2 linked regions of the Saccharomyces cerevisiae S288C genome follow. The gene in region 2 interacts genetically with the main gene of each other region. Each region holds a gene or a part of one and is shown on either strand. Other genes may lie near its edges.

Region 1 (3,522 bases), on a different chromosome or scaffold from region 2:
CTGGAGAAGCATCTGCCAATAGCGGCAGATTTTCATCGTTGGCGTCATGTGGCTCCACAACATGGTGCTTATTGTTACTGTACAGCTTATCTTTTTGCAAAGAATAGATCAATTTTTTCAGCTGCGAATAGGCCAGATACTTGGTAGACCATTCTGGTACAGAATTGAATTGTAAGGAATGCGAGAACTTCATGTCAGTCTGCAAGTTACCGTGTCACCTTCACAGTTTTCTTTTTATTTGACTAAGTAAAAAAAGAAAAGAAGTTATTTTTACTAAGATTTTGAGCGGCATTTTTCCTAGTTACTTATCAATTTTCATACATGCAAGACATACTCAATTTTTTTTTTTTTTTTTCAGTTTTAAAATTAGTCCTGATCAAAAAGCCATCACGTGGATCCCCGAAAAAAAACGGATCCGGGTAACCAGAAGTATTTTTTTCAAGGGAATAAAAGTTACCCTACCAAAATAAAAAAATTCAAGTAGGGTAATAAAGTTCCACCCCCCATCAGGATTATCGTTCTCTGACATCACCCACTCTCTGCTCGCTCTCTGCTCGCTCTCTGCTTTCTTTCCCCACGCCGGAGTGATTAAGGCGGATAGGCCCACCTGAACACCTCGCTCAGAACATCAGCGAGAGTTCCAGCCCCTCTACCCCTTACCTCTCGCCGCCCCTCATTTCGGATCAAAAGCAAAAGAACAAAGGGCCTTCGCAGAAACGGAAGGTTTCGACCCCTCGGTGCCGTTTTAATTTCTTTTTCTGGCCAGTTAAGCTTTTTGACTTTCTCGAATCAGCCCAGTGCAAAACAGTACGCATACGAGCACACAAATGTATATATATGTGTATGTATATATGTATATAGGTATGTGTGTGTACATCCGAAGCGTAAACTAATGATCTGCAAGTTTCAGATTTTTTCTCGAAAAATATAACTAATAAACGTTCCATGTCGTCCACGGATATCAAGCCTTGTGCCGTGAACATCCCTGTTTCCGCTCACATCACCTTCCACTACAAGTCGATCGCGGACAGAAGCAGCAGCAGGAGCAGCAGCAGCAGCTCCTGCTCCTCTGCTACATCTAAAGCCTGCTCCCCCAGAGGCAGCTCCGTCGGCTTACCGCCTGCTTTATCAACTGACAATGAAATCGTCGAGACTGTACTTAATGTTTCCGCTCCCGTTGTAGCAGACCCTACGCGGCCCTCATTGTTCAAGAGTAACTACACCGCAGCCTCGTGCTTGACTTCTGACCCAACCTCGCCGTCACTACTGCCCTCTTCTAGGCGCAACTCTGTATTGCCGGCAAGCGACTTCCACCAATGCGCGCATCACAAAAACTTTCAAAGAAGGGCCAGTGAGCCACAACTGCCCTCCTTCGATAATCGCTCGTCGTCCGAGATGAAAAGGTCCGTCTCGTACGCCCAGCATAGCATGATGTTCCCCATCAGTGACCAACAGGAGCCGCAAACATCCGCGTCTCCTAACGACCACTCAGACCCGTCTTGTCCTTGCAACAGACATCACCACAGAAGAAACTCGGTCGCCGTCAAGTTTGACAAACCATTGTATGAGAGACTAGAGACGTAGTTATCCATTCGTCCATCCATCTGTCTATCGTCACACAGCATTTCCCATCCCTCCTCTATACATACATACATATACAGTTCTGCGTGGTCTACGCAGCCATGTATATATATATTTCCGTCGTTTTATATATTCATTACTAAAATCGACAATGCATTTTTTGCCGCTTTCCATTTCCTCTACTTTGCTCATCACTTCGCTCGAAGAAAAAATGAAAACCGTCTTGAAAAACTTTTGCTATTTCATCCATCCAAGCCACACCAAATAGCGCAGTCACACAGAGATCATGGTTACATATGCTGGAAAACTGGTTCTAGCTCCAATGGTAAGAGCCGGCGAACTGCCCACGAGACTGATGGCGCTGGCCCACGGTGCAGATCTCGTCTGGTCCCCAGAAATCATCGACAAAAAGCTAATTCAGTGCGTCAGGAAGGAAAACACTGCACTCCAAACTGTCGACTACGTCGTGCCGTCCAAGGTTCAAACGAGGCCGGAGACGCTCGTTTTCAGAACATATCCAAAACTAGAATCCTCTAAATTGATTTTCCAGATCGGGTCTGCATCCCCGGCTCTGGCCACCCAGGCTGCTTTGAAAGTGATCAACGACGTCAGCGGGATAGATATCAATGCAGGCTGCCCCAAACACTTCTCTATACACTCCGGCATGGGCTCTGCCCTCTTGCGCACCCCAGACACACTGTGTCTCATCTTGAAAGAACTGGTTAAGAACGTGGGTAACCCTCACAGCAAACCCATCAGTGTGAAAATAAGACTCTTGGACACCAAGCAAGACACTCTACAGCTCGTCAAACGTCTGTGTGCCACGGGCATCACAAATCTTACAGTTCACTGCAGGAAGACTGAAATGAGAAACAGAGAGCAGCCCATCACAGATTACATTGCGGAGATCTACGAGATATGCCAGGCAAATAACGTGTCGTTGATTGTGAACGGCGCTATCCGCGACCGCTCTCATTTTCATGATTTACAAGCGAATCATTGGAAAAACACTAACATTGGTGGTATGATTGCAGAGTGTGCTGAACGGGACCCTACAGTTTTTGATCACACTTCTAAGCCTTCAGAAGACGGTCCATCTTGGGTCGTTGCTTGTCGCGAGTTTATTCAGTGGGCAACGAAGTTTGACAACCACATCGGCAATACAAAATACATGTTAAGCAGAATTGTCCCCGGAAAATCAGTCTTTTTTCAGTACTTTGCCCGTTGCAAGAGCCCGGAAGAAGTTAGTTTCGTACTAAAGCAATTGAACGATGATGGAAGCGCTCAAACAGATCCTTCAGAGTACTTGGAAAACTGCAGAGCTCAAGAAAAAGCTTTGAAAAACGCCAACGCCATCGCCAAGCAAAAGAGGAAACAGACCGATCACATAGGCAGTGACACTAAAAAGCAAAAGGTTGTACCCCTTCCCACAGATATATAATATATTCTAAGTAAAAAGAACGGATTATGAAAGAAAACGCGCATAATATATATATGTATGTATTTTCTAATTTATATTAGCAACTAAATTAAATTACATCAATACTATTTTTTTTTTTTACTTTACAAGGTTTATTTCAAAGTCTTCAACAATTTTTCTTTATCATCGGTAGATAACATCTTGATAACTTCAGATAATCCATCAATAGCATTGTCATGGTCGCTTCTGATCTTTTTAGCTAAGTCTTGAGCGAATGACTCTAATTTCAAACCCTTTAGTTTATCGTCCAAAGTTTTGTAGTTTTCTTCAATCCATGTTGCGACTTGCCTATCATCTTCATGGTCCACTGAAGCAGGGTACCACGATCTAATTCTTGCGATCTTTTCTAATCTTGATGCTTCGCCTACCTGATGGCTCAACCTTTTAATCAAATATTCTTCGTTCAATCTTCTTCTCAATCTCCAGAAGAAGAAACGACGTGCCTCGGTCCATTCCAGTTC
Region 2 (5,383 bases):
AATTGATCCACTTTACTAGTTTGCAGGTGGATAGCGGGGATGACCCACTTACCACAACTGCACCTAGATCCTTTCCAGTTGTAACCGCCAACTTTACTTGAACAGCCTGGACATGAAAACTTCCCTTCTAACTCTTGCTTGCCTTGTAGTTCAGGTTGCATCCATTTTAAAGGTTCGATGAAAAAATGAGAGCAATTTGCTTGTGACTCTTGAATATCAATAATACGATGGGAGTTGGCGGCCCTCTTGATGAAGTGTCCCTCTGATGATTCCTTACTTGGTGGGTCATGCGCGATGAAAGATGTAGATAACGCCAATTTGGTTCTGCACTTCTTACATCTCACTGCGGTGACCTTGCTCTTCTCAGCTTCAGTTAATTTATCCAAGTCTTGCGACGACTCCGAATCTTTAAACATTCCAGAATTGGAGACCAATTCGCTGCCCGATGGATCTAACTTGATAGATTGCTTCAGCTTCCACTGCTTATAGGCTGGGTTGTCGAAATCGACAAAATCTCCACCCATTTTCTCAAAGAGATGTAATTGTTCCATGAAATTCTCGTTTGGCTCAACACTCGGTTTCTTCCTCTTGACAGCGTGCATAGCCATTGATAGTGACAATCCATAACGATACATTAGGTAGGCTACTATGAAGGTTACAGATCTCGAGAGTCCTGCTTGACAATGAGCAAAAACAGCACCACGTTGTGGTTTCTTCTTGAAATCTACTAATCTGGGCGAATACTCAACTTCATTGGGGAACAAGCATTGATCAATGAATCGGTTCGTTTCATCGAAGTATTGCAGCACATCAGTCACATCATCATCATCGATGGGTATGTTTTTTAGCGTGTAACCTTTCCTTATTAGATACTCTGGAATGACCTGGAATTTGATAACAGAAAGAATATGAGTAATGTTAAATTCTGCACCCAATGGTCTGTGGTCAATAATTGGACGGATTCCGCCAAGATATATGCCTCCTAATATCCTGGTAACTTCCTCGTCTACTGAGTTTGCATTTCCAGCCATCTTCCCTGTAATTTCTTGCTGCTTTTACTGCTTTCTCTGCGTTATACCTGTATTAGATGCATTCGATGAGCTGAGGTATAATTTTTTTTTTCAGTTAGATTTCTTTTTTTTAGCGCTAAGAAAATTTCAAAATTGCAGCCGTGGAGACCCAGATGGATATATTGTAGATCATTAAAAGTTGTGTCATCTCAAACTAAGAGTGGTTAATATATGTATGTGTGTAAATAACTTTTTATAAATTTGTTTCTTTTATTTCTATAGAATTTCTTTAATAAAAATTTGCAACTTTAGTTTAACGTCTAGAATCAAGCAAAGTTTGACCCAATGGTGTTTTCGAGACTCCGTTGGCATTCGTATATACCACCTGGCCTCTTAATATGGTTTTCAAAACTGTGCCCTTGACCGTCATCCCGTTGTAGGCAGTCAATTTGTTTTTGAAGTAGACACTTGAATTACTTATTTTATGTTTACTTGCAGTATCAAATACCACCAAATCAGCATCGTACCCGGGAGCTATAGTGCCTTTTTGGTGAGATAGTCCTACCTGATGGGATGTATTTTTACAGCACCATGTAACGATATCGACCAAAGAGCAGCCTTGGGTAAACATCAATGGCAAACCTAGTCCGACGGAAGCGATTCCTCCCCAAGAATCGAAAAAGTCACCTTTTTGCAAGTTCTTCAACTCAGGGGTGCATGGCGAATGGTCGCTCACTACTGAGCCTATAACACCTTCACGCAAAGCGTCCCATAGGCCTTGGCGATTAGACTCAGAGCGGATGGGTGGACAACATTTAAAGTAGGTGGCTCCGTCTGGGATCTGCTCTGCAGCAATACACAAATAGTGGAAACAAGTCTCTGTTGTGACTGGTAGCCCTGACGCACGTGCCTTTCTGATCAAGGGAATTGCTTTCATTGATGCCAGATGAACTATATGTACAGGAGGAACTGGTCCATTTCTGGCTCTCAAGCATTCGAGAATCAAATTGATGGCGTCTATTTCGAAAGAATCCGGCCTCGAGGACAAAAACGAAGAATATTCACGATGGCTTTGCTCGGGTTGCTGTTGGTCCTCATGTGCCTTGGGCAACTCAGCATGAAACATCATCATGGTATCCTCCTCGGCTAAGACCTTCAAGGCTTCTTCTATATATTCTTTGCCAATTGGAGGGAATTCTTCCACACCAGAATCAAGCAAGAATCCTTTGAACCCGCGAACGCCAGCTTTGACAAGCGGAATTAAGTCTGGCAAGTTGTGTGGTACCAGTCCACCCCAAAACCCAACATCGCACCACATTTGGCCCTCAGCAGCTTCCAATTTAATTCGGAAATTCTCCACATTTGTTGTGGGAGGAATAGCATTTAGCGGCATATCAACCACCGTTGTGACCCCGCCACTAATAGCAGCTTGAGTTCCAGTTTCGAATCCTTCCCAGCTAGTCCTACCGGGCTCGTTCAAGTGAACATGAGAGTCCACAAGTCCAGGCAGAATTGTACATGGAGATACGTTCTCCAGCGTATGTATTTCATATTTGGTTATCTCAGTTTTCTCCATAACCACGGAGCCTTCTAAAACATCCAGAATCGTGCCTGATTCGGTCGAATACACAATAGTCGCAGGTTTATTTGCACCATTGATAATGACATGGTCGGAAGTGATGGCATTGATAGGCATCTTTGTTCTTCGCAGTATTTCACTTTTTTTTTGCCTATACGTTTTTGCGAAATATACACTTTTCTAACCTAATTAAAGATAGCTAAAAGAAAAAGGGGTACCTTCAATTACAAGATACCAGTAGAAACTCATCACTTTTGCGTTACCTCATCATTGTCCCCTTCGATGAGATATGCCTCCTCTATATAGATAATTAAGCACCGCAATTTTGAACCACTTCTCCTGATAAAGTTCCATCAGTCCACCATCAACACATTTGCGCCTATTCGATGATCCGCAGTAAGGGACAATAGAATCGAAACATGCAGTTCCTTTCTTTCCTGCAATTCTCGGGTCTAATGTGGCTCGAGGGTATCTCTTATCGGTATTACTTTCTTATCAATGAAAAATTTCTGCCAGGGAAAATGCGCCCGCTTTTTTTCCGGCCATCCTTACTCGCTGTCGCATACAAAATAGCGCCTCTAATCTAGTTGCGATAAGGAATGTGTATGTGTAATTGAAGATCCAGGATGTTTTCCTTTTCAGGGAGATGAGAAGGAATAATAGGATGGATTGACCGCTTTGCTGTCACGTCGATAAGGTTCCTTTAAAAATTGTGTCCAATGATTAGCATAGAGAGGTAGAGTATCAGAGAAACAAGTTTGTAATCGAGAAACTTGATCTGCTAGTGTTGAGCATAGAAGGCTAGGAAAACATGGGGAAGAAAAAAAAAGTATAAATAATTAGCTTGATGAGTAGTTTGAATATATATGTTACTTTAGTTTCCCTTTTTGACCTTTTATATTCATCTACATCTTGTGATATAAAACATCAACAAAGACGAGAATGGCTAACGACGCTCTAAGTGCTATTTTCAGTAATCCTTCGAGGAAAGGTGTCCAACCCTCCACATCTATTGTGTCATATACAAACAATGAAGATGATATTATAGATGTGGAAAATGGGAAGTTCAACAAGAACAAGAATATCAACACTAATGTGTATGTGGACAACTCCTCAATAGAGGAGAGCGAAGTCGTGCCCTTGCCCGAAACAAAGTCCATCTGGAGTAAAATATACTACGATTTCATTGTGTTAGACAAGACAACTTTGAATGTTTCGTTGAAAGAGTCGTTCTTGTATAACAGAGACTTGAAACCGGTTGAAGAAGAAAGAAGGTGTTGGTCCTGGTTCAATTACTTATATTTCTGGCTGGCAGACTGTTTCAATATTAACACATGGCAAATAGCTGGTACAGGTCTACAACTAGGTCTGAATTGGTGGCAATGTTGGCTTACAGTTTGGATCGGCTACACTTTTGCAGGTATCTTCGTAGTATTGAACTCGAGATTTGGTTCCGCATATCACTTATCTTTCCCTATTACTGTTAGGGCCTCATTTGGTATATTCTTTTCTATGTGGCCGATTATAAATCGTGTCGTGATGGCTATAGTATGGTATGCCGTGCAAGCCTGGTTAGGTGCAACGCCCGTGGCACTGATGCTAAAATCTATTTTTGGCAAGAATCTGGAAGATAGAATCCCAAACCATTTTGGTTCTCCAAATAGCACTACTTTTGAATTCATGTGTTTCTTTATATTTTGGGTGGTCAGTATACCATTTGTCCTAGTGGCTCCTCATAAAATCAGGCATTTATTCACAGTAAAAGCAGCTTTGATCCCCTTCGCAGCCTTTGGATTTTTAATCTGGGCTTTGAAGAAATCGCACGGTAAAATTGAGTTGGGGACGCTGAATGATTATTCACCTCATGGTTCCGAATTTTCATGGATATTCGTTAGATCCCTAATGGCCTGTGTTGCTAACTTTGCCGCTTTGATTATCAACGCCCCTGACTTCGGTAGATTTGCCAAAAATCCTCAAGCGTCTTTGTGGCCACAATTGGTTGCCATCCCATTGTTCTTCGCCATAACATGTTTGATCGGTATCATTGTTACTGCGGCCGGTTATCACTTATATGGGGTTAACTATTGGTCACCACTGGATGTACTTGGTCAATTTTTGGAGACCACTTACACCAGAGGTACTAGGGCTGGTGTGTTCTTGATTTCTTTTGTATTTGCCTTAGCTCAACTGGGTACAAACATTTCTGCCAACTCTCTGGCATGTGGTGCTGATATGACGGCTTTGTTTCCAAGATATATTAATATTAGAAGAGGTTCTTTATTCTGTGTGGCAATGGCTCTATGTATCTGTCCATGGAACTTAATGGCCAGTTCAAGTAAGTTCACCAGCGCTTTGGGTGCTTATGCAATTTTCCTTTCCAGTATTGCTGGTGTCATTTGCGCGGATTATTTCGTAGTAAGAAGAGGATATGTGAAATTAACACATTTATTCCTGGCACAGAAGGGTTCCTTTTACATGTTTGGAAACAAATTTGGTGCCAATTGGAGGGCCTTTGTTGCGTATATTTGCGGTATCGCTCCAAATTTACCAGGTTTTATAGGTGATGTTGGAGCTCCAAAAATTACGGTTTCAGAGGGTGCAATGAGGTTATACTATTTAGGTTATCCGGTAGGTTTCTTTATTAGTGCGGTGATATACCTCATATTATGTTACTTTTTTCCTGTCCCTGGTACTCCCGTAACCAATTTTCTGACAGAGAAAGGATGGTTCCAAAGATGGGCTTATGTTGAGGACTTCGAGCAAGATTGGAAGAATGAGTTACGTAGGGATGACC

What was found. Genes that interact genetically often act in the same process or in processes that back each other up.
Region 1: mutations in DAL1 (region 2) and SMM1 together harm fitness more than expected from each alone (negative genetic interaction), as found in Saccharomyces cerevisiae (2 studies listed by BioGRID).

The regions. Positions count from the first base shown.
Region 1 is NC_001146.8:651,520-655,041, forward strand, and holds SMM1 (tRNA-dihydrouridine(20) synthase (NAD(+))), read left to right. Parts: upstream 1-1,867; coding exon 1,868-3,022; downstream 3,023-3,522. Other genes in the region: PHO91 (Pho91p), read right to left, coding at 1-193; YNR014W (uncharacterized protein), read left to right, coding at 946-1,584; acetyl-CoA carboxylase ACC1, read right to left, coding at 3,154-3,522. UniProt on the Saccharomyces cerevisiae protein: Catalyzes the NADPH-dependent synthesis of dihydrouridine, a modified base found in the D-loop of most tRNAs. Specifically modifies U20 in cytoplasmic tRNAs. Also able to mediate dihydrouridylation of some mRNAs, thereby affecting their translation.
Region 2 is NC_001141.2:404,937-410,319, forward strand, and holds DAL1 (allantoinase), read right to left. Parts: upstream 2,707-5,383; coding exon 1,324-2,706; downstream 1-1,323. Other genes in the region: tyrosine protein phosphatase YVH1, read right to left, coding at 1-1,031; DAL4 (allantoin permease), read left to right, coding at 3,532-5,383. UniProt on the Saccharomyces cerevisiae protein: Catalyzes the conversion of allantoin (5-ureidohydantoin) to allantoic acid by hydrolytic cleavage of the five-member hydantoin ring. Involved in the utilization of purines as secondary nitrogen sources, when primary sources are limiting.